7 linked regions of the Canis lupus familiaris genome follow. Each later gene encodes a partner of the first gene's protein in a complex. Links are inferred from orthologs where the notes say so. Each region holds a gene or a part of one and is shown in the gene's direction. Other genes may lie near its edges. The genes, in order: MEAF6, MORF4L2, ING3, ING5, EPC1, VPS72 and KAT6A.

The links.
Region 2: MEAF6 (region 1) and MORF4L2 share a complex: the UniProt entries of both Homo sapiens proteins name them as parts of the nuA4 histone acetyltransferase complex. The link is inferred for Canis lupus familiaris from reciprocal best matches to the Homo sapiens genes MEAF6 and MORF4L2.
Region 3: MEAF6 (region 1) and ING3 share a complex: the UniProt entries of both Homo sapiens proteins name them as parts of the nuA4 histone acetyltransferase complex. The link is inferred for Canis lupus familiaris from reciprocal best matches to the Homo sapiens genes MEAF6 and ING3.
Region 4: MEAF6 (region 1) and ING5 share a complex: the UniProt entries of both Homo sapiens proteins name them as parts of the HBO1 complex. The link is inferred for Canis lupus familiaris from reciprocal best matches to the Homo sapiens genes MEAF6 and ING5.
Region 5: MEAF6 (region 1) and EPC1 share a complex: the UniProt entries of both Homo sapiens proteins name them as parts of the nuA4 histone acetyltransferase complex. The link is inferred for Canis lupus familiaris from reciprocal best matches to the Homo sapiens genes MEAF6 and EPC1.
Region 6: MEAF6 (region 1) and VPS72 share a complex: the UniProt entries of both Homo sapiens proteins name them as parts of the nuA4 histone acetyltransferase complex. The link is inferred for Canis lupus familiaris from reciprocal best matches to the Homo sapiens genes MEAF6 and VPS72.
Region 7: MEAF6 (region 1) and KAT6A share a complex: the UniProt entries of both Homo sapiens proteins name them as parts of the MOZ/MORF complex. The link is inferred for Canis lupus familiaris from reciprocal best matches to the Homo sapiens genes MEAF6 and KAT6A.

The regions. Positions count from the first base shown.
Region 1 is NC_049236.1:5,044,082-5,047,966, forward strand, and holds the end of MEAF6 (chromatin modification-related protein MEAF6), read left to right. Parts: intron 1-2,817; coding exon 2,818-2,947; 3' UTR 2,948-2,982; downstream 2,983-3,885.
Region 2 is NC_049260.1:77,633,877-77,637,983, reverse strand, and holds the end of MORF4L2 (mortality factor 4-like protein 2), read left to right. Parts: 5' UTR 1-69; intron 70-1,556; 5' UTR 1,557-1,580; coding exon 1,581-2,447; 3' UTR 2,448-3,099; downstream 3,100-4,107. UniProt on the Homo sapiens protein: Component of the NuA4 histone acetyltransferase complex which is involved in transcriptional activation of select genes principally by acetylation of nucleosomal histone H4 and H2A.
Region 3 is NC_049235.1:59,215,512-59,219,728, forward strand, and holds part of ING3 (inhibitor of growth protein 3), read left to right. Parts: intron 1-857; coding exon 858-929; intron 930-1,864; coding exon 1,865-1,984; intron 1,985-2,263; coding exon 2,264-2,421; intron 2,422-2,995; coding exon 2,996-3,189; intron 3,190-4,217. UniProt on the Homo sapiens protein: Component of the NuA4 histone acetyltransferase (HAT) complex which is involved in transcriptional activation of select genes principally by acetylation of nucleosomal histones H4 and H2A.
Region 4 is NC_049246.1:51,598,144-51,603,001, forward strand, and holds the start of ING5 (inhibitor of growth protein 5), read left to right. Parts: upstream 1-1,916; 5' UTR 1,917-1,995; coding exon 1,996-2,032; intron 2,033-3,038; exon of another isoform or gene 3,039-3,442; intron 3,443-4,209; coding exon 4,210-4,281; intron 4,282-4,858. UniProt on the Homo sapiens protein: Component of the HBO1 complex, which specifically mediates acetylation of histone H3 at 'Lys-14' (H3K14ac) and, to a lower extent, acetylation of histone H4. Component of the MOZ/MORF complex which has a histone H3 acetyltransferase activity.
Region 5 is NC_049223.1:12,486,903-12,491,119, forward strand, and holds part of EPC1 (enhancer of polycomb homolog 1), read left to right. Parts: intron 1-1,314; coding exon 1,315-1,667; intron 1,668-4,217. UniProt on the Homo sapiens protein: Component of the NuA4 histone acetyltransferase (HAT) complex, a multiprotein complex involved in transcriptional activation of select genes principally by acetylation of nucleosomal histones H4 and H2A.
Region 6 is NC_049238.1:60,907,167-60,911,868, reverse strand, and holds the start of VPS72 (vacuolar protein sorting-associated protein 72 homolog), read left to right. Parts: upstream 1-1,623; 5' UTR 1,624-1,696; coding exon 1,697-1,813; intron 1,814-4,702. UniProt on the Homo sapiens protein: Deposition-and-exchange histone chaperone specific for H2AZ1, specifically chaperones H2AZ1 and deposits it into nucleosomes.
Region 7 is NC_049237.1:24,432,528-24,436,744, forward strand, and holds part of KAT6A (histone acetyltransferase KAT6A), read left to right. Parts: coding exon 1-49; intron 50-1,124; coding exon 1,125-1,218; intron 1,219-2,972; coding exon 2,973-3,204; intron 3,205-3,939; coding exon 3,940-4,147; intron 4,148-4,217. UniProt on the Homo sapiens protein: Histone acetyltransferase that acetylates lysine residues in histone H3 and histone H4 (in vitro). Component of the MOZ/MORF complex which has a histone H3 acetyltransferase activity. May act as a transcriptional coactivator for RUNX1 and RUNX2.

The DNA.
Region 1 (3,885 bases):
GGTGGAGCTGCAAATGCCATTAAGAATTCCCCTTGTAGGGGATCCCTGGCTGGCTCAGTCGGTAGAGCATGCGACCCGATGTCAGAGTCCTGAGTTCAAGCTCCACGCTGGGCATAGAGCTCATATTAAAAAAAAACAACAGTAAACAAAAATTCCCATTTTTGCCTTAGCGCTCTCCATATAATTCTCTTTAGAGTCTCGTTTTGGGACCCTGTTGATGATGCTTGTCTCCAGGCGCTTCTGTGAGGCCAGTGCTGCAGGCCCTGGGGGCCCAGCCGCCTCCTGCTGCATAGACGGTCGTACCAGGAGGCGCCAGCAGGTGGCAGGCAAAGCCCCACAAGCGCCACGGCCTCCCGGGGCTCAGATTTGGGGGGGGTGTTGGGGTCATCTTATCCTTTTCCTCCACCTGGTTTTGCGGCCGTTTCGTGAGCGGGTGGCCAGTTTAAGACGGCCAGCAGCTGCCGTGAGATGGGCTTCGAAAGGCCGCATCCCAGCCTGACAGCCTGGGGCCTCCTCCCCATCCAGGAACTAGCTGGAAGGATTTACATACCGTGGCCTGGGATGGCTTGAGTTTCCTTAATTGCAGGGCTCTGCTTCCTGCCTCTTTGAGCCAGATCTCCCACACCCTTCCCATGAACCGGGAGGTCCCCAGAACCGGCTCTTACTCACCGCCCTCGACTCCACCCACCGAGCTACGGTCCTGGGGAAGAAACTGAGCCAGAGGTTTGAGAAGCCCTGGAGCAAAAGTGCTAGGATCCCGGGACTGCCTTATTTGGGGGGCAGGAGCCTCTGGGGACCAGCTGGGCTGAGGGCTTGAGGTGCTGGCTCCATGCCCCCCGCCCCCCAGGTCCTAGATGTTTCCTCCCCAGTTTCTCTGCTGGAGACCCCTCCAGCCCCTCCTTCCGGGCAGGGGTCCTGCCCTTCTGTGTTCGGGAAGAGATGGGGTGGGGAGGGGGGAAGGAAGCGGTCAGGGTGGCCTCTCCCCAGTCACTGCCCCGCACCAGCACCGGGGCTGGGGGTTGGGGGGGCTGGGAGAGCGACTCCCCTGGAGCCCCAGCGCCCTCCTGCTCCTGGTTGAAGTCCCCCAGATGGACCTTGAGGGCCCTCTGGGCTTCCCTCAGGCAGGGAGGTGGGGTGGGGACACCCAAGGGAGGGTTCCAAGTTTCATCCACTGGGGCCCAGTTGCTTCTCTGCCCAGGGAGGCCAAGGTTTCTGTAGTGACCCTGGCCCCTGGGGAGGTTAGCCCGCCTCTGGGTCAGGCCGTGCTGACCAGAGCCTGGGGGTGGGGGGGGGCTGGCGCTCCGGGAGCTCCCCAGGATCATTTCCCAGCAATGCAGGGATTTGCATACTCCCTGGTTTCCCCATCGGCCGCTCAGCCCTGGAGGCAGGAAGGCGGAGGAGGAAAGGGCAGCGGGGCAGCCCTGTGGGCTGGGTCCCCTCGGCACCGGAGCTTGGGGGTCTCTGCGGCCCTCCGGGCCCCAGGAGCCCGCATGAGACGTGCCGCCGCAGCCTGGGGCTCAGTCGGGGAGCCCGGGCCTGGAGGGGAGGGGGCTGCGCAGGCCGCATGGCCAGGCCTTGCCACCCCTCCACCCCGGCGGGCCCCAGCGAGCTGAGGGGTCTCCTGGTCGGCCTGGAGCTGCGCAGGGCCCCCCTGTGGCCCCCCTGTGGGCAGTGGGAGCACCCAGGCCCTGGGAGGGAAGGGGCTGCGGCGGGCGGGAGGCGGGATGGGGAGGCCCGGGCCTGGGGGCCAGGTGGCCCGTGGCTGCAGGTCCTGGGTGCGGTGGCGGCGCCGAGGGGCCCCTGCCTCCTGCCCGGACGCTCCTCACCCCACACCCCACATGCTGCGGCCCTCGGGGCTGGCCCCCGGCTGGTGGGGTGGCAGGGAGCACACGCTGCTTCCAGGCCGCTCCTGAGGCCTCGTGGCCTTCCCGTTCCACGCAGTGCGCCGGCGGGCCTGGCGGGTGCTGCTGGGGCGGCCCCTGCTGAGCAGGTGGCTGGGATGGCCCTGCCCCCCTCCCGGGGCAGTAGGGCTTCTGTGGGGGTGCCTCCCTCCCTCCCTCCCCCAGGGCCTGCGAGCCCTTGCAAAGCAAACCAGCAGCGTCTGGAGGCCTTGCTTCCTCAGCTGTGTGGAGCCAGAGACCCCCACCCCAGGGCCTCCTCCAGCCTGCCCTGTCCCTGGGACCTCCGGCCAGGCGCTCGGCCTTGCCTTGCCGGTGGCCTTCCCTGGCCGTGCCAGTGGCTGATAACGAACTGGACAGTCTGGTCTTTTAGCTTCCCGTCCCAAAAAAACAAAGATCCATAAATAGCCTTTTAATCTGGAATACAGTACCTGATTGGAAAAAAAAAAAATCTTACAAGGCAATGACATTTCTTCGTGCAGCTAAAACCTTCCGAAGTGGCTGGAAGCAATGGGCATGGGGTGCCCCGAAGAGCACGAGTGGGGGCTGCAAGAGAACCTTTGCTCAGAGCGGTCCCACCTTGCCCCTGGGTTCCCACTTCAAATGCAGGCTTCTACAGAACGGGGGCCTGGGTGGGGGCCTGGGTGGTGCAGTCGGCTGAGCGTCTGACTCTAGATTTCTGCTCTGGTCACGATCCCCAGGTCCTGGGATCAAGCCCCAGGTCAGGCTCCCTGCTCAGTGGGGATCTGCTTCTCCTTCTGCCCCTCTGCACCCCCCACACAACTTGCTCTTTCCCTCTCTCTAAATTAAAAAAAAAAAAAAAGAAAGAAAGAAAAGATGTTCAGGGTGAAGAACGCAGTGGGCGGGGGTGGGGGGCCAGCGCGCAGGGAGATGGCCAGTCTGGCGTTTTCTTCACCAGGCTGTGCAGCTGTTCTGTGGCAAAGCAGTTTCAAGAAAGAAAAGAAAAGAAAAGAAGAGAAAAGAGAAGAGAAAAGAGAAGAGAAGAAGAGAAGAGAAAAAATACAGATACTGTAAAAGCTTCACAATAAGTACAGATTAGGTGCGGTGTCCAAATATAGAATGATTAAAACTGTATTTTTTCAAAAAAAACTATTTTTTCCATTTTCTCCTGCTGATAGTGTTTGTTTTGGGATCATTTGATAATCCAGCTTTTCACTTAAAATATTTAACCTTTAGATCTTATTTATCTGGAAAAAAAAAATGTATATCTCTGCCTGGCTTCCTTCCTCCTAGGGGCCACTAAGAGGGTCAGGATGGTGAGGTGAGCACAGCCCGCAGCACTTACTATGTGCCAGGCACTGGGTCATGTGCTCAACACGCATGCTCCCCGCTTCACAGATGAGGAAACTGAGGCCCACCCAGAGAGGGGTAGTCACTTGCCCCGGTGACATAGCTGGTGGCAGGCCAGTTCCTGAGTTGGGGATCAGGACCCCCAACCTCCGAGGTGACGCTGGCATCACCTGCCTGGGAGGAAGGGGCTGGAGCCAAGCACCCAGCCCCCCCACACCCCCACCCCCCCTGTCTCCTCAGCTGTCCTGGAAGCGCTCTTCTCAGCCAGGTGGTTTTCTGTCCTCGGCTCTGGTCGCTGGAGAGAAAGGGGAACAGACCAATCCTGCCCCCAACCCCTGCCACCCCCTCCCCACACCATGGCCTCAGGACTTCAAGCCCTTACCTGCTTCAACTCCGGGACCTCCCCCACCAACCCCCCCACCCCCACCTGTGGGTCCCCCCCCTCCACTCCAGGCCCTGCCCCCAAGGGGCCGAGCACTTTGGGTGGGTGCACATCTGCGGACCCCCCCATTGCCCAAAGGCCCCGGCCACGCCCCAAGCACAACGCAGGGCTCACATTGAACTTTATTGACATGTTAAGAGAGGCAAGGACTTACACTTAGGATAGTGCACGTTACACCTGTACAGGTACATACACGCACCCCACCCCCGCGGGAGGGCGAGAGGACCCCCAGCA
Region 2 (4,107 bases), on another chromosome or scaffold:
GGAGATTTGGGAGGTTCCATCTGGGAAAACACTAGGAGTACTTGGAAGGGAAAGAAGGAAGAGGATTATGTAAGTCAAAAAAATTGCTTCCTGTGTCACACTATAAGAATCATAGCCCCCTATTTTTCATCTTTATCTTACTAGTTCCCTCTGCTGCATTTTATACTGTACATTATCCCTTTCCTTTCTTAAAACTCTTTTGACTTATTTGGCTTCCAAAATAACATTCTCCTAATTCTTCTATGGCTGCTCTGACCATTTTTGTGTTGTTTTTGGTCTCTGCTAATCCCTTAAATACCATTCTTTTAGGTTTTTCCAGAATTTCATACTTTGGTTCAGTTTTTCTTCCTCTTCTGTCCATGAATGACTTTGATGGCTTTCCTAGCTTCCAGTAGTAGCTGTGTGATGATTACCCTCAGATCTCCATTTCAGGCTCTGACCTTCACCTGAGCTTTAAAGTTAAATATCTAACTTTACATCTCACACGTAGTAGATCCAGTACTGAAGTTCTTTCCTCTCTAATCCACTTCCTCCTCCTCTAGATGCAGTCTTATTTGGTGATAGTACTAATGACCTAATCACCCATTCTCAAAACCTGGAGTCATCACTGACTTCTCTCTGATTTATCACCTTCTCCAACAAGCTAATACTGACAGTGGTGTCATGTACCATTTCTTGTTTGCTCCAAAATACTCTGTGCCTATAACCGTCATTGTACTAACCTCGTTTTTTTTTTTTTTTTTAAGATTTTATTTATTTATTCATGATAGTCACACAGAGAGAGAGAGAGAGGCAGAGACACAGGCAGAGGGAGAAGCAGGCTCCATGCAGGGAGCCCGATGTGGGATTCGATCCCGGGTCTCCAGGATCGCGCCCTGGGCCAAGGGCAGGCGCCAAACCGCTGCGCCACCCAGGGATCCCTAACCTCGTTTTTTTAATTGTCACCTTAGATTTAAACCCTAGGACCTAGCATAGTATCTGTCCCAAAGCAGATAGGCAATAATGTATGATAACTAATTGAATAGATGCATTTGTACAAAGCCACCTTTGACTGCTCCCTCTTCTTCATTTACCAATTTCTGTATTCAGTTTCCCTTGACTCTGTCATCACCCTAGTTCAGGATTACTTGGACTCCTACAAAAACATTTACTGCTACTCATTTTGCCTCCAGTCAACTAATCTTTCTTTGTTCTTTTATCTTGTCATTTATCCTGTTCAGACAGTTTTAATTTCAATTCCACTGCCTTTTGTAGTTTCTTTTCCATTTAATTTATTTTTTTTCTAAAATTATATTTCTGTCTTTGGAGTGGCACCAAAAAACTAACTTATGGGCAAGTCTGATGAGCGATTGGATGGGGTGAGTAGTGGTTGGTAGTGAAAATCAAAAAGAGGGTGGAAGTAGTAAGTCAGTCACTTACAAATGATCCTGAACTAGGATTTGAAATCTAAATTCCAAGAAAATAGCTTGTGTTTTACTGTGGTAGGCCTTTATGAAGTAATATGTGTTAAAGGTCACGATAGAAAACAACGAAGTAAAATATTTTATATATTACAGTGGTTGGAATAAAAACAGGGTTGAATGAGTTCCAGAAAGCAGGGTTCTCAAACTCGTGGACAACAATCTGCAGAAGAAGACAACTTCAAAAAACCAACTAGAAGTAATATGCAGAGAAGTAAGATGAGAGGGGCCTCCTCAGGAAAGAAGACTGCTGGTCCACAGCAGAAGAATCTGGAACCAGCTCTCCCAGGCAGATGGGGGGGTCGCTCTGCAGAGAACCCCCCTTCAGGATCAGTGAGGAAGACCAGAAAGAACAAACAGAAGACACCTGGAAACGGTGATGGTGGCAGTACCAGTGAAGCACCCCAGCCACCTCGGAAGAAAAGGGCCCGGGCAGACCCCACTGTTGAAAGTGAGGAGGCATTTAAGAATAGAATGGAAGTTAAAGTGAAGATTCCTGAAGAATTAAAACCATGGCTTGTTGAGGACTGGGACTTAGTTACCAGGCAGAAGCAGCTGTTTCAACTCCCTGCTAAGAAAAATGTAGATGCTATTCTGGAAGAGTATGCAAATTGTAAGAAGTCGCAGGGAAATGTTGATAATAAGGAGTATGCAGTTAATGAAGTTGTGGCAGGAATAAAAGAATATTTCAATGTGATGTTGGGCACTCAGCTGCTCTACAAATTTGAGAGGCCCCAGTATGCTGAAATTCTCTTGGCTCACCCTGATGCACCAATGTCCCAGGTTTATGGAGCCCCACACCTACTGAGATTATTTGTAAGAATTGGAGCAATGTTGGCGTATACGCCCCTTGATGAGAAGAGCCTTGCATTATTGTTGGGCTATTTGCATGATTTCCTAAAATATCTGGCAAAGAATGCTACATCTCTGTTTACTGCCAGTGATTACAAAGTGGCTTCGGCTGAGTACCACCGCAAAGCCCTGTGAGGGTCTACTGACCACTCACTGTTATGTCTGGTATCTGTAAACACTCTTTTCGTTCTTAGTCTTTTTCTTGTATAATTGATGTTCTTTAAAATTGTTAATGTATAACAGGGCTTATGTTTCAGTTTGTTTTCTGTTGTGTTTTTAAACAGAAAATGAAAGGAGTACAAGCTCCTTTTCTCATTTCAAAGTTGCTACCAGTGTACGCAGTAATTAGACGAAGAAGAAACATTCAGTAGAACATTTTATTGCCTAGTTGACAACATTGCTTGAATGCTGGTGGTTCTATCCCTTTGACACTACACAATTTTCTAATATGTGTTAATGCTATGTGACAAAATGCCCTGATTCCTAGTGCCAAAGGTTCAACTTAATGTATATACCTGAAAACCCATGCATTTGTGCTCTTTTTTTTATGGTGCTTGAAGTAAAACAGCCCATCCTCTGCAAGTCCATCTATGTTGTTCCTTAGGCATTCTATCTTTGCTCAAATTGTTGAAGGATGGTGATTTGTTTCATGGTTTTTGTATTTGAGTCTAATGCACGTTCTAACATGATAGAGGCAATGCATTATTGTGTAGCCACGGTTTTCTGGAGAAGTTGATATTTTAGGAATTGTATTTCAGATCTTAAATAAAATTTGTTTCTAAATTTCAAAGCAAGTATTTTGCAGCATGCCTTTAATATTATTGAGGCTGACTAGTCCGCGGGCTCGGGAAAGATCTAGGTGGTATCAGAGAGTTCTGACTCCCAGTAAAAGAATTCCTTTTTCTGTTGGGTGTGGCAGCCAGGAGTATGCTGTCATTGCCAGTTCCCCTCCTCTTCCCTCATTGTGGCTTCTCAGAGTGACTGCTTTCTAGTGCTGCTTATAAGAACTCCTTGCCCCTGTGAATTGGGCTGGCATAACAGAATATTTAGTGGATACTATAATAGTTCCTTACACTTACGCAGAGCTTTGCTCTTGACCACAAAAGAAAATATGGGCAGCCACCTTCAGAAATACTTAACAGATTTTGGACCAAGGATGGCCGCTTTCCCTAGTTCCAACATTGAGTTCATGTTCTGTTTTTATAATCCCTTAGACATAATAGTGGGAATCTAGAGTAGGGGATTTGTGGAGGAGGGTTGATGGATGTCTATGATTATAAATCCATTCTATAAGGAAATTTACCAAACCAAGTTTTGTTTCATGACAGTGTTTTTTTACTTCTATAGTAAAAACATAAATTATCATGGTTACTGGAGAGATTTTAGAAAATACAGTAAGAACAAATCTGGAAATGAGTCCTGTATGATCCTCCTAGATCAGTCAGGGTCCCAGCAGGAAATAAATTTTATTCAAATCGATGATTTGAGAAGTTTAATAGAGAATTTTTTCCCAAGTTGTCAACAGAGGAGTAAAGTCATGGTGTGTATTAGTTTGCTAGGGCTGCCACATCAAAGTATCATAAACTAGGTGGCTTAAACAACAGAAATTTATTTTCTCATAGTTACAGAGTCTAGAAGTCCAAAATCAAGATGCTGGCAGGGTTGGTTTCTTCTGAGGCCTCTCCTTGGCTTGTAGATGGCTGCCTTCCTGTGACTTCACATGGTCCTTAACCTGTGTACCTGTCTGTCCCAATCTCTTCTAAGGAGGCCTAATGACCCCATTTTAACTTAACTG
Region 3 (4,217 bases), on another chromosome or scaffold:
TCAAGAGTCCATGTTGGTATCTATAGTTGCAATTTTGTATTCAAAAGTAGATCTATCACTTTAGATGATCATCTAATTTATTTGTGATACTTTTATTCCAAGGAAATCCTATCTGAGAATAGTGTTTGAGACAAAATAAAATGTTCTGTAGCTGTTGTAATTTTTTTTCGAGATGCTGATAATAGCTGTGAATAACAATAATTCATGCCTATTCAGTACTGCAGGAAGGTTAATGAAGCATCCTCTGTAAGGACACAGACACACTAAATGAAATCAAGTTATAAAATCTGCTCCACCCTGTGCCCTGCCATAATTTCATCTCAAGGGATCAAGATAAACCCAGAAAATTTCATTAAAAGTCTTTTAATGCTTGGCGGTAGAGATTCTGTGCCTAACTTCTTTTAGGAAGTCTTTACTATCATATGTCCTTTTAACAATCAAAGAATTTTATCTCATATGGTAATGTCCCATCACCTAATACTTTAGGATCTCCCGTAGAAAGGTCTTCAGCCCAGTATAACTAGTTTGAGTTTTTAGATCTTATCGGAAATGGAGTTATAGTATCCATTCATCCACTTATGCGGTACCTGCTGTCCTGAATTCCCCAATTAGACATTAGCATGCCTTGAGCTTTTTTGTACGTAAGGTGAATATTAAGAAGTGGATTACATACTGTTTAGAGAGAGGATGAAATTGCCTCAGGATAAAGTTGGCAGTGGTGGTTCTCTGACTAAAATGATACAGGTATGTGCATCAGGGCTCCCAGTCCTCTGGTAGGTGAGGGTACAGAGTGCCTGTAGTTGATGGGACCTTTAAAGTTCTATGTTGACATGTATCTCTGTGCCTTTCATTCTTAGGATCTTTGGAACTAGATACTCCTTCACAGCCAGTGAACAATCACCATGCTCATTCACATACTCCAGTGGAAAGTAAGTTTGGTTTTGGGCAGCTACAATTTTCAGTATAATTAAAAATTCATTATATTACCTGTATATTCTTTTTTAATTGGCTCCATACAACCAATTGAGAAAAAAATATCTCTCCCTTATTTTATTTTATTTTATTTTATTTTATTTTATTTTATTTTATTTTATTTTATTTTATTTTATTTATTTTTTTATTATTTTTATTTTTATTTTTATTTTTTATTTTTATTTTTATTTTTATTTTTCCTTACAGTTCCTGATAGACTTATTGCTGTCATTTGAGAAAAGCATATTTGATTTGGGAGTAGAGAGTTTGCTTTTCCTGGGATACATTGAGGATAAATATATGGTATTAATAGCAGCATATACTTCCTACATTACAGACACCTGATTCTCTCTAGAGAGTGTTATAATTCAAGTCAAACGATAAGCTACGTGATGGTAGGCTCTTTGGTTTTTTGCCATCCTTGCTTCTTCAGTGCCTAGTGTGCTGCTTGGCATATAAGAAGGCCCCAATGTTGGTGAGTTAGTGAGTAAATGAATGGTTGGTTGGATCTTAGCTAGTTAGAAGACTGTATCAGCGCATCTTGTGACAGATCAATCTGATATGAAAGAATGGTTGAGAGAACTATTCAAAATTGTAGATAGTGTTTTGAAAACAAAATTCCTATCATGCTATATGTGAAACCATGGTGCCTTGTGAGTTATTCGCAGTACTTTGCTGCTGAAGTTATTTTTAATGTGTGAGAAGGCTACTCTTAAAAAACCAGGTGCCACAGAGAGTTCTGCTTCTCCTGTCTTCCAAGAAAACATATTGTTCTGTATTCCATAAAGAACTCAGGACATAACTGTACCTGCTTGTAACTGAATGGAAGTATTATGTTTTGTCCACAGTTCTCTAAAATTTTAAAACACAAAATTTCTTTATTTATATTCAGAAAGGAAATATAATCCGACTTCTCACCATACAACGACAGATCATATTCCTGAAAAGAAGTTTAAATCTGAAGCTCTTCTATCTACGCTTACATCAGATGCCTCTAAGGAAAATACGCTAGGTAAGTTTATTATCTTAAACATGAATTTTTGATGTTTGTATATGTTAAAATAAGGAGAAATGAAAGCATTCAGGATTAACAAATCATACTGATTTTTTACTTGGTTTAAAGTCCACATTTGGGGAAAGAAGAAAAAGGAAAAATGGCGCATGAAAATTTTATAGTGACATGAAAATGTTAAATTTAATGATTATATCTGTACTGGGAAATAATGTATTTTAAGCTCCCTAACATTATATTCTCTCCAACCATTTTTATTTCTTCTTTAATTCTACATAGGGTGTCGAAATAATAATTCTACAACTTCTTCCAACAATGCTTACAATGTGAATTCCTCCCAACCTCTGGCATCCTATAATATTGGCTCATTATCTTCAGGAACTGGTGCAGGGGCAATTACCATGGCTGCAGCTCAAGCAGTTCAAGCCACAGCTCAGGTAAAAAGGAAGAGGTTTGGAAATAGCAGGTACATTTTGTCTGAATCATTGGCAAACTTTAATAGAAACAACGAGGTGTGAACAGAGTTTTCTTACATTATTGTATAGTTTCATTTTTAAACCGTGGTTTTATGATGCCTGATGTTTTATTTAATGAAATGGATGTGCATCAATTTACCTGATAATGAAAAGTAAAAAAAATGGATTCGTGCAATGTCATGCAGATCCCTTCATACAGTGATTGCTCATGATGTGCATGTTTTTGACAAGAAGCCATAGCACCTGCTAGGACAGTACTCCATTCTGTGTCGCAGCCCTGAACTGACTGCATTACACTTGTTCGCTTCTGTATAGTTTATATTCCAAATTAAGTCACCAATTCTCTAGTTCCCTCCTAACTGTGTAAAAACTGATTTTAAATCTTTACATAAAATAGTTCAAATGACAGTGATGAAAATAATGGTTCAAGCAAAAGAATATTGGATAAACTGACATAATACTGCAACTAGTAGGACTGAAAAAGAAAATCTGCATATATATGTGTATTAATATTATCAATGAACGTCTGTTTAAGATGAAAGAGGGACGAAGAACATCAAGTCTAAAAGCCAGTTATGAAGCATTTAAGAATAATGACTTTCAGCTGGGAAAAGAATTTTCAATGCCCAGAGAAACAGCTGGCTATTCATCATCTTCGGCACTCATGACTACATTAACACAGAACGCCAGCTCGTCAGCAGCCGACTCCCGGAGCGGGAGAAAGAGCAAGTAGGTTTCCCTGTTACAGTGGCCCTGTGCCCTTACTAAGTATGCAGTCGGCTTGGCATCCAGCTGGGCTTGGCCATGTGCGACAAAGGTAGGATGTAATGGATCAGGATCACGTGGGGGAGGCAGGAAGACACACTGTCATACTTGCGGGAGGAGGAAAGTCTCTAAAAGGTGTTAAAAGTCTTTAATCTTTCTAGAGTCTTAAATTAGGTATAAATGACTCCTGTTTACTTTCTTCTGTTCATTAGGATAAGCCATTTTATGGAAACTTTTTCCTTTATGGCCCCTTATTTTGTCACGTGTCCCAATGTAAATTAATGCATAAGATACAAATTTTATCCTGGGAATTTTTTTTAAACAAAATTCTTCATTTTTATTAAAAGGAAATTGTATTAATTCTTGGTCTTATGCCCCCCAAATTGAAAGTATGAAAATATCCCTATATTTTTGTATATAAGACTCTTAGGATGGTTGTCTGTCTTAAACACAAAACCTTAACAGGGTTTAGTACCATCTATCCCCAGTATCTGCATTTGCTAGATATTCAGACATAATGAAAGTTCAAATGGTAAACCAGAAGAAGAGCTGTTATCTAATAATTGCATCATAATGTATTTTTAAATGTACTATATTTCCTGTGAGTAAATCCCAGGAATGATCAATGTAGAATTACCACAAAAGTGCTAGGTACCTCAAAAAGTAATTCATCTTAATGACCCAAATTTATTACAAATGCTGATAATAAATTTTCCTATTTTAAAATTTAATTAGCATGTAAATATTGCTAAATTCCTTGCGAATTTGCACACTCTTTCCTGTCTTAACACAGGTAAGTATTCACATCTCAGTTGATGATCATGATCATTTTCATCAACTGCTTTTGTGTATTTGTGTTTTAGATTTTGATGAAGAGCATTCAATTTGCTTAAAAATACAAAGAATGTCTGGAAGATAGCCGTAGCGAACACTAATTCTTACAAGTATTACCTGTAATTTAAGTCAGCATTAAGTCGTAACAGATTTAAAAA
Region 4 (4,858 bases), on another chromosome or scaffold:
TGCCTTTGGCTCAGGTCATGATCCGGGGTCCTGGGATCAGGGTCCCACATTGGGCTCCCTACAGGGAGCCTTCTTCTCCCTCTGCCTCTCTCTGTGTCTTTCATGAATAAATGAATAAAATCTAAGAAAAAAAAAGCACATAGTAGAAAAATGGATAATATGATTCATCAGTGAGATAACCAAAAGCCCAATTTAAAAAATGAGCAAAAGTTATGGGGTGCCCGGGTGGCTCCGTTGGTTTAGCATCTGACTCTTGGTTTCAACTCAGGTTGTGATCTCAGGGTCACAGGATCTGGCCCTGCATCTTGCCTCTCTCCATGCTCAGTGGGGAGTCTGCATCCCCTCTGCCCACCCCCCCCAACTCTGTCTCTAAAGTAAATACACCTTTTTTTTAAAAAATATAAGACATGGGCAAACGTTATGGACAGCTCACCAAAGAAGATAATAGATGACAAGTACACGTGTGAGAAGATGCTCATTAGGGAACTGCAAATAGAATGATGAGCCATCTCTCCACACCTATCAGAACAGAACGGTCAAAATCAGGGACACTGGCAGCAAATGTTAGTGAGGACGTGAGCAATGGGAACTCTTATTCTTCGCTGGTGGTGATGAAAGGGGATGGGGCCACTTTGGAAGACAGTTTGGTGGTTTCCCACAAACCTAGACAGTCTTACGCTTCTTCGTATTCAACCAAAGGAATTTGCACACAAAAACCTGCACAACAGTGATTATAGTAGCTTTACTCGTAATCGCCCAAACTTGGAGACAACCAAGGTGTCCCTCCGTAGGTGAACGGGTAAACCGTGGCCCATCCAGACCATCAAGTGTTACGCAGCATTAAGAAGAGACGAGCCGTGAAGCCACAGAAGAGCGTGGAGGAGACCTAATGCCTTTTACTCCGTGGAAGCCAACCTGAAGTCTGCACACTGTGCGCCCCCAACTCCACGAGATGCAGGAAAAGGGAAAAGCGCAGAGAGAGGGGAGCGCTTGCGGGGCTGCGGGGAAGGCGGGGCGCGGCGACAGTCCCGTTGGCTGTAGGGCGATCCTGTAGGGCGATCCGGGTGGTCAGACGCTGGTGGGGCCCAGGGGGCGCACAGGGGGCCCCGACCCGATCTATGGGGCTCATGTGATAATAATGTATCCGTGTTACCGCATCAGTTATAATGAACGTGCCACAGTGCACGTGCTTGTCATGGGCCCGCGCGCGTGTCTGGGGTATTCGGATCCCCGTTTCTCGATTTCCCTGTGAACCTGGAACTGCTCTATTTCTAAAGTCTATGGAGCCAAGGAAAACAGCAGGCTTGGGCCGAGGGCGGGGCGCGCCGTGGGCACCTGTGCACCTGCCCGAGCCCCGGGACCCGGGCGGACGCCGAGTCGACGGGCCTGGGTCCGGGGTCGGGCATCGCCGGCTCCCAAGGAGACTGGGGTTTTCAGGGACCGCAATGTCGGCAAAGCGGGGTCTCCATGTGTTGGTATTTGGCGGGCTTGGGGGAGCTCACGAACGGGCTCCCCGTCTACACACGCGTCTGCACCGAGGAAGCGGCGACGGCACGGCCGGGGCGCGCCGGGCGGGGGAGGCGCCCGGGAGGCCCCGGCCCCGCGCCCCGGGCCGCCTGCACCTGCGCCGGCACCTGCACCTGCGCCCGCACGTGCGCCGCCCGCCGGCCGCCCGGGACCGCGCTCGCCGCCGGAGCAGCTGCCGGGGGAGCGGGGCGGGGCGGGGCGGGGCTCCGGGGCCCGCGGGCAGGGCCGGAGGCCGCGCGGCGAGGGGCCGAGGGCGCCCCGCCGACCCGCAGGCCCCGCGCCCCGCGCCCGCGCGACATCGCGCGCAGCCCGGCGGCCGGAAGTCCGGGGGCGGGTCCCGACGGCGGCCCGCCCCGCCAGAGGGCCAATCAGCGCCCGAGCTTCATTAATAGTGAGCGCGCCGGCCCCGCCTCCGCCCCTCGCGGCGCCGCCCGCCCGCGCAGACCCGGAGCGCGGCCGCGGACGAAGATGGCGACCGCCATGTACTTGGAGCACTACCTGGACAGTAAGCGCCCCTCGCGGCCCTCGGGCCCGGCGCCCGCGCCCCGAGCCCCCCCGCCAGCCGCGCCCCGCGGGCACCAGGCGCCGCGCGCGGACCCCGAGGGCGCGCGGGGGGGCAGGGGCGGGCCGGCGGCGGCGAGGGCGGCGGGGGCGCGCGCGGGCGGGGCGGGGCCGCGAGGAGGTGCGCGCGGGGGGCGCGGCGCGGGGTCCCACCGTCACGGCCGCGCCAATTCCAGGTGCGTCACGGAGGGGCGGGGCCGGCGGGCGCGGGGCGGGGCTCGCGTGACCAGGCCCCGCCCCCGCCCCGGCCCAGGCCCCGCCCCCGGCCGCAGCGGCCGCCCCGCCCTCTCCGCCCTCCGCCGTCCCGGCCCCGCCCGGCTCCCGGCCCCGCCCCGCCCTTCCCGGCCTCCTCCGCTGGCCCGGCCCCGCCCCCGCGGCGCGGTCCGGGGCAGGTGGTCGAGCCCCGCCCCCCTCGGACGCGGGGCCGGGCCTGGGGGCTCGGGGTCGGGGTCGGGGTCGGGGACTCCGGCCCGGGGACTTGGGGGCGACCGTGGTGCGCGGAAGCCCCCGGGGTGCGCCTGTGCCGCGCGGCGTGGGGAGGGCGCTTGCGGGGCTGGGCCGGGTGTCACCGGGCGGGGAGGCTCAGCGCGGGCGGACCTGGGGGTCCCTGCGGGCGTCCTGCGCCCGCCGCAGTCGTGCAGCTCGGCCTGGAGCCGCCGGACAGCTCCTGCGCGGATGGGTTCCTCCCTGGCCTCGCGAGGGCGGTGCAGGCCGCAGCGGCCAAGGAGCCCGTCGGGTCACGCCCCTGGTCCCTGCCGGCCCGGCCCTGGCTGGGGTCGGCCCCGGGGTGGGGCGGGCCGGGTGCGCTGCAGCGCTGTACTGCTCGGGGAGGACGTGGAGTACAGACAGGGCCGTCGGTCATCGGTACCGGCCGCTCGGGACCCGCTCCTGCAGCCGCGGACAGGACAGGGAGGGAGCCCCTGCCCCCAGGGTGGTCGCCCAGCCCAACCCGAGCCCGGAGGGGACGCGCCCGTGTCACCGCGACAGAAGCGCTGCGCTGAGCTGTCTGCGGGGAGCACTGGGGCTTGCCCGGCCCTGTCGGTACCTGCCCCCCAGGTGATTCCATCCTGCACGGGGCACCTGTGCCGAGGCTCAGACTGGAGGTGCGGCTTGATCTTTGAGCGCCTGCTGTGTGCCGTGAAAGTAGCCTCGAGCCTCATTTTCCTGGAACTTAACTTTCAAAGGAGGCAAACTGATTTTTTTAATCACAGCAGATTAAGCTCCATGAAGGAGCCCAGCAGGTTGTGAGAGAGCCGAGGTGGCACTGTCCCACAGAGCCCAGGGTAGGACAGAACAGGGAGGTCTGCGCCCAGCCTGGAGGCGCCTCGTGGAGGGACTTTGTGCCGTTCTCCCGGTGAGCTGGGCACCTTTAAGCGGTAGCCTTGGAAAACTAGATTTTGCTCTATAATGATTGATGGCAACTGGGGACAGTAGAGGGGGTTGGCCCCGCGCACAGGAGCCCAGGTCGCGCCCATCAAGGCTACGCAGGCGGGCTGGGAGGTTGGCCTGGAGCAGGAGAAGGGCAGTGCAGTGGGCAAAACAGGGCAGGGAGAGGTCCTCCAGGGTGCGGTCCAGCCTGGTCTGTTTCACTGGAAATTAATTAACCTTGAGCAAATGAGAAGTTCAGTGCCTGGAGCAGAGCAGCCCCACTGCAGTGCCCAGCTGCTGCGTGGCCACCGCCCACTGTGTTGCGTAGCTTAGAGAGACCATGTCCGACCAGGCATGGAGTCTGCCACACGGCACTGCCTGTGCCACCCCATGCAGCGGGTGTCAGGCTCAAGCGGGGCAAAGACCCAACAGACCCCAGGATTTTGCTGGGGTATCGAGAGGGGAGGACTGGCTGGGAGTGTGGGGTGGAAGAGTCACATGGGTCACCTTCCCTGCTTCTGCTTGCAGCTCTCGGGTAAGTCCTCTCACGTTTCCAGCTCTGACAGCCCCTCAAGCCTGTCGGTCTCACCAGTATCGTACTCATCATCCACAAAATATACGTTAATCCTTCTGTTCCCTGAATCCTAGCAGAAACAGAAAATGAAGTCAGATTATTATTTGTTGACTTTATATGTAAAGTCTGCAAGGCGGCTTTTGTCCCGCTACTGACAAGTACACGTCTCTTTGTTTCAGGCATTGAGAACCTTCCGTGTGAACTTCAGAGGAACTTCCAGCTTATGCGAGAGCTGGACCAGAGGACAGAAGGTAGGTGCAGGCCTTGTAGCGCAGCCCCTGGTAGGCTCTGACAGCTGGGGAGAGTTGGCACCAGGATATTGGGGGTGGCCCTGGTCTTCCAGGGCAGTGGGGCTGGAGCCTGGCCTTCGGCATTGGGCATTGTGTAGCGTCTAATGGGGAGTGCTGACACTTTAAAATTAGACTTCATTTCTTAGGTTTTAGCACATCTCCCTGTAGCATCTTTACGACCATCATCCGTTCCTCATTACTTTCTCTTCCTTTTATTTTTATTTATTTATTTACTTTTAAAGAGTTATTTATTTGTTTATGATAGACATAGAGAGAGGCAGAGACACAGGAGGAGGGAGAAGCAGGCTCCATGCAAGGAGCCTGATGCGGGACTCGATCCCGGGACTCCAGGATCGCGCCCTGGGCCAAAGGCAGGCGCTAAACTGCTGAGCCACCTAGGGATCCCCCTTTCCCTTCCTTTTAAAAGGTTTTCTGGTTTGGAACTACATACAGATAGTTTAAACAGAGAGCACTTTGCGACCTCCTGGTATTTAGCTCTCGGTTTCTAAACATCCTATTTTTTTTTTTAATTTTTATT
Region 5 (4,217 bases), on another chromosome or scaffold:
GTCTCTCAAATGAATGAATGAATGAATGAATGAATAAAATATTTTTTTAAAAAGGCTCCAGGATCCATGCATGGTCTGACGTTGACACCCAGTTTTTCAGGATCTAATCACTCTTTTGTTTAAACATGATAGTACCCCCTGTACACTCTAGATGCCTTGTGTGAGAATTTGTGTGGGAGGCAGGAAGGAATTACAGAACACATAAAAGTGAAGAAAAAGAAAGATAATCCTGTATAGGTAGGGGAAAAAAGGCAGAACATAGTATCAAGGTGCTTTCAGGAAGAAACCTGAGGATGTAGAGGGTTTTTTTTGTTTGTTTCTTAAAGATTTTATTTACTTATTCATGAGAGAGAGAGAGAAAGAGGCAGAGACACAGGCAAAGGAAAAAGCAGTCTCCCCAAAAGGAGCCCAGTGTGGGACTCGATCCCACATAGATCCCGGGATCATGTCCTGAGCCAAAGGCAGACACTCAACTGCTAAGCCACTCAGGCATCCCAGGATGTAGTTTTTAATGAATGCTTTATACGTATGTTTCTTTCATTTTCAAGTCTTAATTGCAGTTTTTAATTACTTTAGAATTGTCTGGACACTGAAATTATTTATTTTATTTAGTGCTTTCCCCCCAGTCATTACATTGATATCAATAGTAGCCAAAATTCCATGTCATTTATATTTTATACTATACTAACATTAGTCGCTGTTAGTATTTTAAGATGGAATTACTTATAAAGTTTATATAAATAACATAAAAATATATCTTCTACAGTAGTAGATCTCAAATATTTTGTCGATAAGAAATTTTAATGCTATAAAATATCCCAAAGATAGCATACCATTTACTGCTTTCTCCTACCTCCTCCACCCCTGCCCCCCCCCCCCAAAAAAAAGAAGGAAGTTTTTGCTTAATAGAGAACTGATCTTTTATAAAGTGTTTTGGTGCTTTGTAACGGAAAGAAAAATCTCTGATTGAAAAGCAGTTTGGAAAGAAAAATAAGTCCAGGTTTTATATCAGTAACATACTGGTAGATCAGCTCATGGAACTGTTAGAAAGCTCTTGCTGATGTAAAATGAATTCCTCAAGGTGGATTGCTTTCTTCTTTAATCAGATCATTATAAAGTAAAAACTTTTATCAGAAATTGAGAATTTAAAAACAAATTGAGAATTTAGCTTAGAGGGTCAAATACTGAAATAATCAAATTTCTAGCTTTTAAATGTTTAGTATGAGATGGCTTTGGGGGAACTGGGAGGATCTTTTTTTATATAATTTTTGAATAGCTGTTTTACATATATGTTCCCTGCCTTATTTTTAACAGGGTCTTACTGGACAGAGCTCACTCAGACTATGACAGTATGTTTCGTCATCTGGATTTGGAAATGCTTTCCTCTCCACAACATTCTCCAGTCAATCAGTTTGCCAATACCTCAGAAACAAATACCTCGGACAAATCTTTCTCTAAAGACCTCAGTCAGATACTAGTCAATATCAAATCATGTAGATGGCGGCATTTTAGGCCTCGGACACCAACCCTACATGACAGTGACAATGATGAACTCTCCTGTAGAAAATTGTATAGGAGTATAAATCGAACAGGAACAGCACAACCTGGGACCCAGACATGCAGTACCTCCACGCAAAGTAAAAGTAGCAGTGGTTCAGCACATTTTGGTATGTTTATTTGTTATGATGTACATTTCTATAGAAATGTCAGGTTCATCCATATTTTGAATATGTGGTTTATTTAAAGCTAAAAGTCCTTTCTCTCAAATAATGAGGAAAACGGACCTAGGTTAAGTATTTATTTGAATTGTTTGTACATGTGTTTTCATTTAAACACACCCACACACAAAGGTGATTTACTGCTACTTAATGTATGACATTTATTTCCTGGATATGCTCTGTGAACCCACAATTTACAATTCAGCAATTATCAAAGAATATGAAAAGAAAATGGGCCATTAATTGTAACCATTTTATGCTTGGACACTTCTCTTGTGTTTTATTTAAACTGTTCAAAAGTAGTCTGGCAAGTCTGTAGATATGCACAAGTCTTATCTACTGACAGTAATGCAGAATAATTTATAAGAGGGAACAATATTTAAATTAAAGGATTTTTAAAATTTTATAGGACTGTTAAAATGTTGGAGGCAATTCCAGATAACATCTACTTTAGCATTATGGCTACATTGTGAAATGTGTCTAAAATACATCCTGTCTTTAAATATTCCTAAAATTTTAGCTTTCTGTTTTTTTTGTTTGTTTGTTGTATTTTTTTTATAAATTTATTTTTTTATTGGTATTCAATTTGTCAACATATAGAATAACACCCAGTGCTCATCCCGTCAAGTGCCCCCCTCAGTGCCCGTCATCCATTCACCCCCACCTCCCCTTCCACCACCCCTAGTTTGTTTCCCAGAGTTAGGAGTCTTTCATGTTCTGTCTCCCTTTCTGATATTTCCCACTTATTTTTTCTCCTTTCCCCTTTATTCCCTTTCACTATTTTTTATATTCCCCAGCTTTCTGTTTTAAAGCATAAATCTGTGTTATTTGAGGCATGTAGATTATAGAAATTCACTGTTAGAATTATGTTACCATAGATTTTTGTAAAGATCATTTAAACACAGATTTTGAAGGGACTATAAAGGTATTTATGTTGCCCTAATTACCTGGTAAGGCTACAGTTAAACCTTTCTAATAAATACGAAAATGTACTGCTTATTCTTAAAGATCTCTAGAAAAGGTCCCATAAACTAATTTATTTTGTGTCTGGAAAACAAGTACTTGTATGAAATGGAAGTCTTTACTCATAAGAAAAATAATCACATTTCCAAAATCAACTAGAAGATAATATAAATTATTCTGAAGTCTAATGGATTAGTATGGTCCCATTAATTTCAGAGTCCATTTCTCTCAGCTATTATAGTCTTAAAAATCAAAATAAAGAACTTTTCAATATGGAGGAGGACTATATAGTATGCAAGTATAGAGCTTTTAAAGGTGTAAACTTGTAACGTGTTTTCCCTGATAGATATTTAAGCTGTATAAATTCCTTGAGACTTCTTATAGAAAACTGGCATGCTCCATCAATCCCCACCTTCTCACCCTTTAAAGTAGAGAAGTTGAGGGGTGCCAGGCTGGCTTAATCAGTGAAAGCAATGAGACTCTTGATCTCATGAGTTGTGAATTCAAGCCCCACAGTGGGTGTAGAGATTACTTAAACAAATAAAATCTTAAAAAAAAAAAAAAGATAATAATAATAGAGAAGTCGAATTGTATAACTACCCTAGTATCTTTTAATGATCATTTTAAATGTAAATTATTTTGCTATACTGCATAAGTAAGCATTGATTTTATGAAACTTACTTGATTTGTGTTTTCCAAAGAACGTTAAAAAGTGAACATTGAACCAGTAGTGTTACCAAAAGTTTAGCTGAAAAACAATTTTTAATGACTGTATAATTTTCTTTTGAATCATTTCCTCCCCCATATAATGTGATACAACTTTTTAAAAATGAATTTATTTTTTTGTTGCACATAATTGTTTCAATTTTCCCTTAATTTTTACTAGATTTTTTTGTATGCTTAGAGAATAGATGCCTACAGATTGCTGTTGGGTCATGCTTTATTCTTTCCTATTTAGTAGAGTCCTATCATGTGTATGTTACACTCAAGCAAATTCAACTATAGGCCCCTGAAGAAAAAATAAAATTTTAACAGTTCAAAAGTTATACAGGATTCTAAATACAATTCAACCAAAAGAACCTATTCTCCAGAGTGGACCACTCTGGGAATGGCAGAAGTGAATCTGTTGTTACTCGGAATATCCATGCCTCCTTTGCCGCTTCATTCAGAGGTTAATCTTCTCACCTTTGTCTGTGTAATTGTAATTTTAAAGATAAATTTTTTCATATAGATGGCCCCCAAATATAAGCCCAACTATTTCATCTGGTACTCAACCACAGAACCATAAGCCAGAGGAAAAACTGTCTGTGCTGGGCTTATTGAAAGAGACACATCCATTGTGGTAGACTTTAAAGGAATTTTCAAGGCTTAATTTTTACTATACTGACTTTAGAACTTAACCACTATATATGAGATAGAAGTCAGTTGATATATACTTTCTTGTTTGCTGCTTAAGCCAAGTATTTTGATTTAGCAGTTTTTTATTAATCTGTCATTATTTTAAATATTAATATTTATATGTATGCTGTGGCCTAG
Region 6 (4,702 bases), on another chromosome or scaffold:
AGGCGTATGAGAGTTCCTGGTGATGAAGATAAAGATGAAGATGAAGTCCCTGCCCTCAAAAAGATCTCAGGCTAATGAGGTAGATACATCAATCATTAGAATAAAATGTAATAGCTGCCACCATAGCGTAGGTACGAGTGCTATGGTTTGACAATCATATTTTCAGGATAAAAGATGGAAAAGAAGTCGACACAGGGTCTTAACAATTCCACAGACTATTTGAGATTGGAACTATTCTGGAGAATTGAGGAGGCATGATCTCCATGATTATGGAAACTGCTAGGAAGCGAGGTGGGCGAGTGGGAAGACATCACTGTCCAATATAACCAGGATTCTGCCAGGTATATAAGATAGGAAAAGAATCCTAAGGAGAAGGAAAAGCACACAGGCACGACAGAGGATTGGGAAGTGATGCTAGAATGGGATGATGAGGCAAGAGGTGAAACTAGAAAGGCAGGGAGAGGCCAAATTATGCAGGATCTTTAATGTCAATGTTAATAGTAATTATCACCTACTAACCATCTATGTGCTTACTAAATCCTGCTGAAGAAGTTTAAAAGGATTAGATCTCCTAATCTTTTAATCTTTTCAACAACTGTAAAAGGTAGATGTTATTACTCCCACCTCTTTTTTTTTTTTTTTTTAAGTAGACTCCATGTCCAAGGAACTCACGACCCTGGTATCAAGAGTCACATGCTATACCCACTGAGCAGCCGGGCACCCCTCGTCCCACTCTACAGGTGAGAAAACTGAGATTCCACCAACTGTCCAAAGTCACACAGCTAGAAGACCCTAAACTCAAAACTCAGGTCTGGTTGGTTATAAATCTAATATTAACCACACTACTGTTCTGTCCCCAAGAATCCTGTACTTTAACCTGTAGATGCCAGGGAGCCATTAAACATCTTTTTTTTTAATTTTTATTTATTAATGATAGAGAGAGAGAGAGAGAGGCAGAGACACAGGCAGAGGGAGAAGCAGGCTCCATGCAACGGGAGCCCGATGTGGGATTCGATCCCAGGTCTCCAAGATCGCACCCTGGGCCAAAGGCAGGCGCTAACCTGCTGCGCCACCCAGGGATCCCCATTAAAGATCTTTGAGCAGAAGACTGACAAAGTCTGTTTTTTAAGAAAGGTTCATCACTAAAAGCAGAGTGGAAAACGGACTGGAGCAGAGGGAGACTGACCTCTTCTAAGTGAACATTTGTTGACTCTCAAATTCTGGACTTAGGGTAGTGGGGCTGCTGGCGTCACCCGGTAATCATTCTGCAGTCCAGATCAGCGCGAGCTAGGGGAGGGAGCTTGGGGGTCGTCTCCACGCCGCTCCCCCCCCCCCCCCGTGGGCGGGGCTGCAGGGTAAAGAAGCGGTTTAGCGCCGCCTGCAGCCCAGGGCGTGATCCTGGAGACCCTGAATCGAGTCCCACATCGGGCTCTCTCTGTATGATGCCTGCTTCTCCTCTGCCTGTGTCTCTGCCTCTCTCTCTCTCGGTCTCTATGAATAAATAAATAAAATCTTAAAAAACAAAAGAAGAAGAAGAAGGCTTGACAGACGGGCCTAGAAGCGTCTCGACGCTCTCCTACTTCTGCCTGTGGACGAAGGGCTTCCGCCGCCGCCCGCCGCCGCAGGTAGTTGTGTCGAGCGCCGATACCGCGCTGGGTGAGGGGCCGCTGGTGGCGGCGCAGTCTCGGTAGGCAGTATGAGTTTGGCCGGTGGCCGGGCCCCCCGGAAGACCGCGGGGAACCGGCTTTCTGGGCTCCTGGAAGCCGAGGAGGAAGATGAGTTCTACCAGACGACTTACGGGGGTTTCACAGAGGCAAGAGTCGGGCCCAGGAAGAGGGAGGGGAGGAAGCTACTAGGAGTCCTGAACGGAGAAACGTCGGACAAAGAAGGGGGCGGGGAATGGATAGAATCAGCCCTGGGAGTGATATTCGAGAGCGGGTGGGAGAGTCCTGGATGGGGTTGGAGGGCTCAGGGATGAGGGGCTCTCCGAGGCACCCCAGACCATGGAAGAAACCAAGCGTATACTTCTCGGGTTGCGTGTTTCACTTCTGACGTCTAACGTACTCGAGCTCCTCGTAGTCACGCAGTATGGACTCTGGCCTACTGCTTGGTTATCCACCTGAAGGTAGAAAAGGATCTCTTCACAAAATACAGGAGCTCAGCCTACTTTTTTCACCTTTCAAATCTCAACGTCAATGTCTCCTTAGTTAATCCTTCCCTAACTGCTCTAAAAAGTGGTCCATTTATTTCCTTCATATAATATATTTCGAATTGCAATTAGATTTGGTTTGCCTACTTGTTTATACTTTTCTATTAGATTGTAAGCTCTGTCAGGTTAGAGATGGTCTGTTTTGTCCAGCAGTATACGTCCAGTGCCTGGTCCATTCTCTGGATTGGACCGGCACTGGTGCTGATTGAATCTGTCCATTCTTAAAATATCTGTTGAAGGGATCCCTGGGTGGCGCAGCGGTTTGGCGCCTGCCTTTGGCCCAGGGCGCGATCCTGGAGACCCGGGATCGAATCCCACATCGGGCTCCCGGTGCATGGAGCCTGCTTCTCCCTCTGCCTGTGTCTCTGCCCCTCTCTCTCTGTGACTATCATAAATAAATAAAAAATTTAAAAAAATATCTGTTGAAGAGCTAGGGCAAGCCAACCACTGTGGTAAGTTCTAGGGAAGCGTAAAGTATTGAAAACACCACTTTGTTACTCGTATTCCAGACCCCAGTGGGGGGAACCAGCTGGATTAACAGCTGAAATACTTTGTGATAAGGAGGGGAAAAAAATGGTAAGCTAGGGTGCTGTGGTAATATACGGGAGCCAGAGTTATTGGTTAGGATTGGCCTCCCTGGAGGACATGATGTTTAAGCTTACTACAGTATGAAAAGTAGGCCTTGACTCAGTGAACAGCAGTAGGGCTGGGAGCAGGATAAGGAGAAACGGTGTGTGTGTGGAGGGGTGGGGGGGATGCAGAATGTGTAAAGGTACTGAGTCTGTGTGGTACATGCAGGCCTACTCTCCTTTCTCCAAACCTTGAAGGAGAATAAAATTGATAAGGTTGGAGGGAGTGGACATAGGCCAAATCATGTTGGGCCTTATGAACCATGTTGAGGGGTTTTGCTCTTTTTCTAGACGACTGAGAAGATTCATCAAAGTACCATGATCAGATTTGTATTTTAGAAAGCTCACTCTGTAATGAGGAGAATGGTTTGAAGGAGGCAGTGGGAGTAGAGAAACATGGGCAATAGTTTCAAGACAAATTAAGGACATTGAATCCATAGGACTTGAATCCACAGGACTTGATTGGGAGTCATTACTTACACAGTAGACCAACTATAGTTTAAAATAGAATGTTCTCATCCCTCCCCCAAAGGCCATTTTCCTATTCCTGTCATTTTACGAGTCGTTATTTAATATGTACCCTTCATGCTTCCAAAAAGGATTAAAGGAGGCTTACAATATAAACAAAAAGTAGGAACTGTAAAAATAGAGACAGATCAGAAGTAATTGTACCAGGAACCTCTGCTAAAATAGTAATAGCAATTTATATTAAATTTAGCGGGGCGCCTGGGTGGTTCAGTGGTTAAGCATCTGCCTTTGGCTCAGGGCGTGATCCCAAAGTCCCGGGATCGAGTCCCACATCAGGATCCTTGTATGGAGCCTGTTTCTCCCTCTGCCTGTGTCTCTGCCTCTCTCTCTCTCTCTCTCTCTCTCTCTCTCTCTCTGTCTCTCATGAATAAATAAATAAAATATTTTAATAAATAAATAAATAATAAATTTAGCTGTGAGCTTCCTGGCAGCCAAGCCCTGAATTTCTTTTTTCAGTAAGAAAGAGGCATATACATTCTTTAAGAGAGAAAAATTTATTCAGCATTAAGTCCTAGGAAGAAGTGCACTTCTACATAAAATTATAAAGTAATGGGTTCACTAGATGATGTAGAAACATTCACTTACCTAGTCATGCCTATTAATGACCCTTGATAAAAGCCAAAGGTATGGTAGTAAATCCCTAACTTAGTGAAAGCATCTTGATTGGACGGACACTAAGCTAATGTGCAGTTCAATGACTACTCTCTGGTGCGATGACTTAATACCTGGTTAGAGCTGAGGGGATTAATGTGTTCCCAGGCAGTCTTTCACAAGCATCAGTTGGGAGGAAATGATGGCCATCGGTGCAAGTTTGAACTCTGGCTAGCTTGGCATGTCAGCTGTCTGTGCTGTTTGCTTGCTTTGGCAGCATGTGTACCAGGATTAGCCTGTTGGTCTACATCCCTGACTGAAGAGAGAGCCACATGTTTGAGGTGCCACCCTGCCCAGTTTTTGACTCCCTCGCCCTTAAGTGTGTTTTTCCCTTTACTTTCCTATGTGGCTGCCATTCTAGTCCTAACCTGTAACCCCTCAATTCTAGGGTGTACTCCACGTTCTCTACTCCACTCAGCTAACAACTTCCAGAGCTTTCTGAAACAGCCCTGGTATATAGTTTTCCTTCCTCCCTAAATCTTCATTGGCTCTCCATTATACATATTACAAGAACTCAGTTATTTTTCTGTTGCAACACACCTGAGGAATGAGACCTATGTCTCAGTAAGTTTACCTCAACAAAGATTATCAATAATGGGACAAGTAAGGAGAGGGAGAGAATTGAGAATCATTGGCCTGCAAATTAAAAGTCACGAGTTTATTAGCCTGATACGTGAGTTTCTTT
Region 7 (4,217 bases), on another chromosome or scaffold:
AACACAGAATGATGTCAAGGGCTGCCACCTTGTTGGCTACTTTTCTAAAGTAAGTATATTCAGTTTAAAATTTGTTTGAATTCACATGGAAATCTAAAACAATCTTTGTCACTTCCCCTGAGGAGAAACTACACTATCAGCACCTTCTAAGTACTATCTGGCTTTTTGGAAAGGAAAATAGAAGGAACATTCAGAATCATATCAAGTGCTAGAAGGTGCCTAATAACATTCAACAGACTCTACTCTCCTAGGAACATGAGCTGCCATTTATACTCTAGAGGAAAAGGTTTTAAATCACTTCTATTCCCAGGGTAATAATAGCCAGAACTTGTGAAATAAACAGTCATTACCTCTGTGAGCTGTTTCTCAGTTTAAATCTTCTCTTCCTAGTTTAAATTTGAAGAATTTAAATAAGAATAAGAAGCCATTTTAATTCAAGGATATTTTTCTCTCCTAATAATCTTCCATTCTCTTGGGGAGAACAAAAGGTGTTTTTTTGTAGTCAAACCACATAAAAGATGTACTTATACTTAAGTTAGCCTATGATAAAATCTAAGTGTATGAAACAGGTAAGTGGAAAGTACCAGCTTTCTGTTAGTTGGCTATTTCAGAAGTTAAATGTAATTTTATAGATACTGCCTGATTTTTAAAGGAACTGTACCCAACATTTTCAGATTATTTTTTGTGAAGTTAGGTACAACCAGTGGAGAGATGGGACTGCCCTGTGTATCACCAGAGCAGGAAATAAGAGAATCTTTGAAATGGTTGATGAATTTTCCCATTTCTGGAGTACCACACTGACTCATCATTTGTAGCTTTGCAGATTGATTGGGACTCAGATTCCTCTGTTCATCTTAGGCAATGACATACTGTTTTGGAGTTGCAGATGGTGTTAGATGGCATAATTTTATTTTATATTTTTATTCTCCTGGGATGGTTGCTTTGTGGGTAATGGCAATGACTTAACATTGTCCTAGCTCCTCCCAGTGGGGTATTTTTTTCTTGATGAGCTTGCTATTCTCAAAGGACCAGGGCTGTGGTTTTGACTGTTAGTCTTTGTTTCTTGATAATTAGCATTACTATTCAGTCTTATCCACATGTTGTTTTACAATTTTCTTTACCAGGAAAAGCACTGCCAACAGAAGTACAACGTTTCCTGTATAATGATTCTTCCCCAATACCAGCGTAAGGGCTATGGCAGGTTTCTCATCGATTTCAGTAAGGATTATATAATACAGTTTTTCATTATCTCTTCTTGTGGACCTTCTGTGATATCTGTATTTTTAGAGATTTACAGATGATTTATTGGTTGCTAGTATCTTTTGTCATACTGCAGTGTGGGACTTTAAAACCTAAAGTCATGAATTTTTTTTTTTCTTTTGATTGGACATGAAATATTTTAAAATAGCTTATACTGAATACTCACTTTTGTGTGACCTATTGCAAATACTTTTAATTATAAACTCTGAATTTACAGTGGAACTTAGTTTTATGATAATTCTGACAGTAATACTCAATACATTATATAACTACTTAAGTTAGTACAGTAGAGAAATACAGCGCTCGCCTTATTTTTTGTTACCCAATTACCTGAGAAAATGCGTACATCATTTTTTAGTTACGGGCTCTACCTAGTGGTTAAAATATGCAGTGCACCTTTAAAAAAACCCTAAAAGTAAATGGTGTAGGAAATAATTCAATCTGACTTAAAAATTAAAAGCTAACAGCTCTAAAAAAGTCAATGTAGATTTTGAATCTTGTTTTACATGTTGATAGTCTTGCTTAGAAAGTAAATATATGTTTACAATAAATTTTATATTGATTATAGAATAGCAAGTTTTGAGGAATATTTTTATATAGGCAGTCCTAAATATCAGATGATTATATCACCAGTGTTAAGGAGTTAATTCTCAGATGGACCAGTGCAGCTTATTCTAGTTGGCCTTAGACTGTACTCCTGAATATTTTATTGGAAATATGTGCCATTGATGATGATTTTGTACATTTTCTTGGCCTTTTTAGATTGGTAGTAGAGAGTGCAACTCAGATTGTTTCCTTTAATATCAATATATTGTTCTGAAATAGGACTCATGTTTGGATGTTATGCCATTAAATAGGAAAGTTAAGGGAAAATATTTTATTATACTAATTAGTTATACTTTTGAGATACACAAACAACAGTCTATGATTACAGTTTTTTTTTTCATTTGCTTTTCGTAACGTAATCTATTTTCCCATGTTACACTATTTACAGACTGCTTTTAGTAAAGCGTCCTTTGATAACAAAAAAACTGCATTTCTTCTGCCATCTCCATTGTCAGTGCTTTCTCTTAGTATTTATGCCTTTCTCTTCCTGTTCTTGAGAGTCCTGCTCTAAACAGGAGGACAAATCCCACCATACACTCACGGGGACATCCTCACGCTGACATCCTTGCTTACTAAGAATTAAGGTGAGGTAATTGTTAGGAGAGCTTTGGCTGAAGTGAGAAATGGTCATCTGATTCACTCGCAGAAGAACCACAATCTTAACAGATAGGATTACATAAAAATGAAGGCATTCTTTTGTATTGTTCAACAATTCAGGTGTAGCTGTTGCCATCTGGTGGTCCAAATAAAACATGCAAGGGAGGTTCCCCCCATAAAATAAAAAGGATTATTGCCTTAATCTTGTTAATGCAGCCTGTTAATATGAAGTCCTATGATTTTTTAACAATTTGAATGTTTTAACGTGATTTATAGTAAGTATAGATAGAGTAATAATAACCTAATGTTCAGTATGTACAAATTACGTCATCTTGTGGAAATATGTGTTGGAGTAATTTTTCAATTTTGTTCTTTTTCTTGAAGGAATATATCTTTGACATTATTATTGCCTATTTTGCTTAGATTGATTGTGAAGAGGGGATTGCTATTTTGGTGAATTAGCCTATTTTAGGCTCTCTGACATATTTGTGATTCGGGGGTTTCTTTAGGTTATTTGTTATCAAAGCGTGAAGGCCAAGCAGGGTCTCCAGAGAAACCATTATCCGATCTAGGTCGTCTTTCCTACATGGCTTATTGGAAAAGTGTAATATTGGAGTGCCTTTATCACCAAAATGACAAGCAAATCAGCATTAAGAAGTTAAGCAAGTTGACTGGAATCTGCCCTCAAGACATTACTTCCACACTCCACCACCTAAGAATGCTGGACTTCCGTAGTGACCAGTGAGTATCATACCCCTTGGCACACTCTCAAAAGATAATTATGTGGAAGTGTTTGGATCAGGCAGCCATATTATCAATAAAAAGGCATAAACTAATATAAGTGGTACATTTAGTGATCCTGAGAGACCATTTTTATTTCTGTGATATTTGATACTATTGACCATATTTTCTTTTTAACTGTTTTTTTCTAGTCTTCCTTCTAACTTTTGGACCTATGCTATTGAATCTTTTATTTTCTAATGTTGGGAGCTCCTTCACAATACAGGAAGTAAATAAAAACTCTAGAAATAACGTCTAATAGAATATACCCATGATTTTTTTCCATGTAAGTGATACAAAATAAAATATAGGACAGGGGAAGTTTAATTCCCCCTTATCTAGAGAGTATGGGAAAAGATCACAGAGAAAGGAAGGAGGCATTGGACTAGAAAGCTGGACAATAGAGATAGAGTACGAGAGAGTAGCAGAAATTCCAGAGATTGGAAGTGTGAGACAGTGAATGGTTCAAATGACTTCATCCATTGCTCTTGTTGACTGTGAAGTATCTGTCCAATTCCGTATTTCTTAGCTATCTCGTATAGTGACATATTTCTATATTTTATCCTCCCAAGCAGGCCATTTTTGAAGCATTTGTCATCATCTCCAGGGTTCTGTGGGGGTTATAGCTCCATATTCATTGTCAGGCACTCCTTGTACACACACCATTGATTGCTGTAAACTTTGCTTTGGTTCCAGATTTGTGATAATCCGCCGGGAAAAACTTATCCAGGATCACATGGCAAAGCTTCAGCTGAATTTGCGACCTGTGGATGTAGATCCAGAATGCTTGCGCTGGACTCCTGTCATTGTCTCCAATTCTGTTGTCTCGGAGGAGGAAGAGGAGGAGGCTGAGGAAGGAGAAAACGAAGAGCCGCAGTGCCAGGAAAGAGAATTAGAGACAAGTGTAAGGGCATGAGTAGTCTCTATTTTTGATGACGGAAGGCTCTATTTTTGACTTGTTCATGAGTATTTGT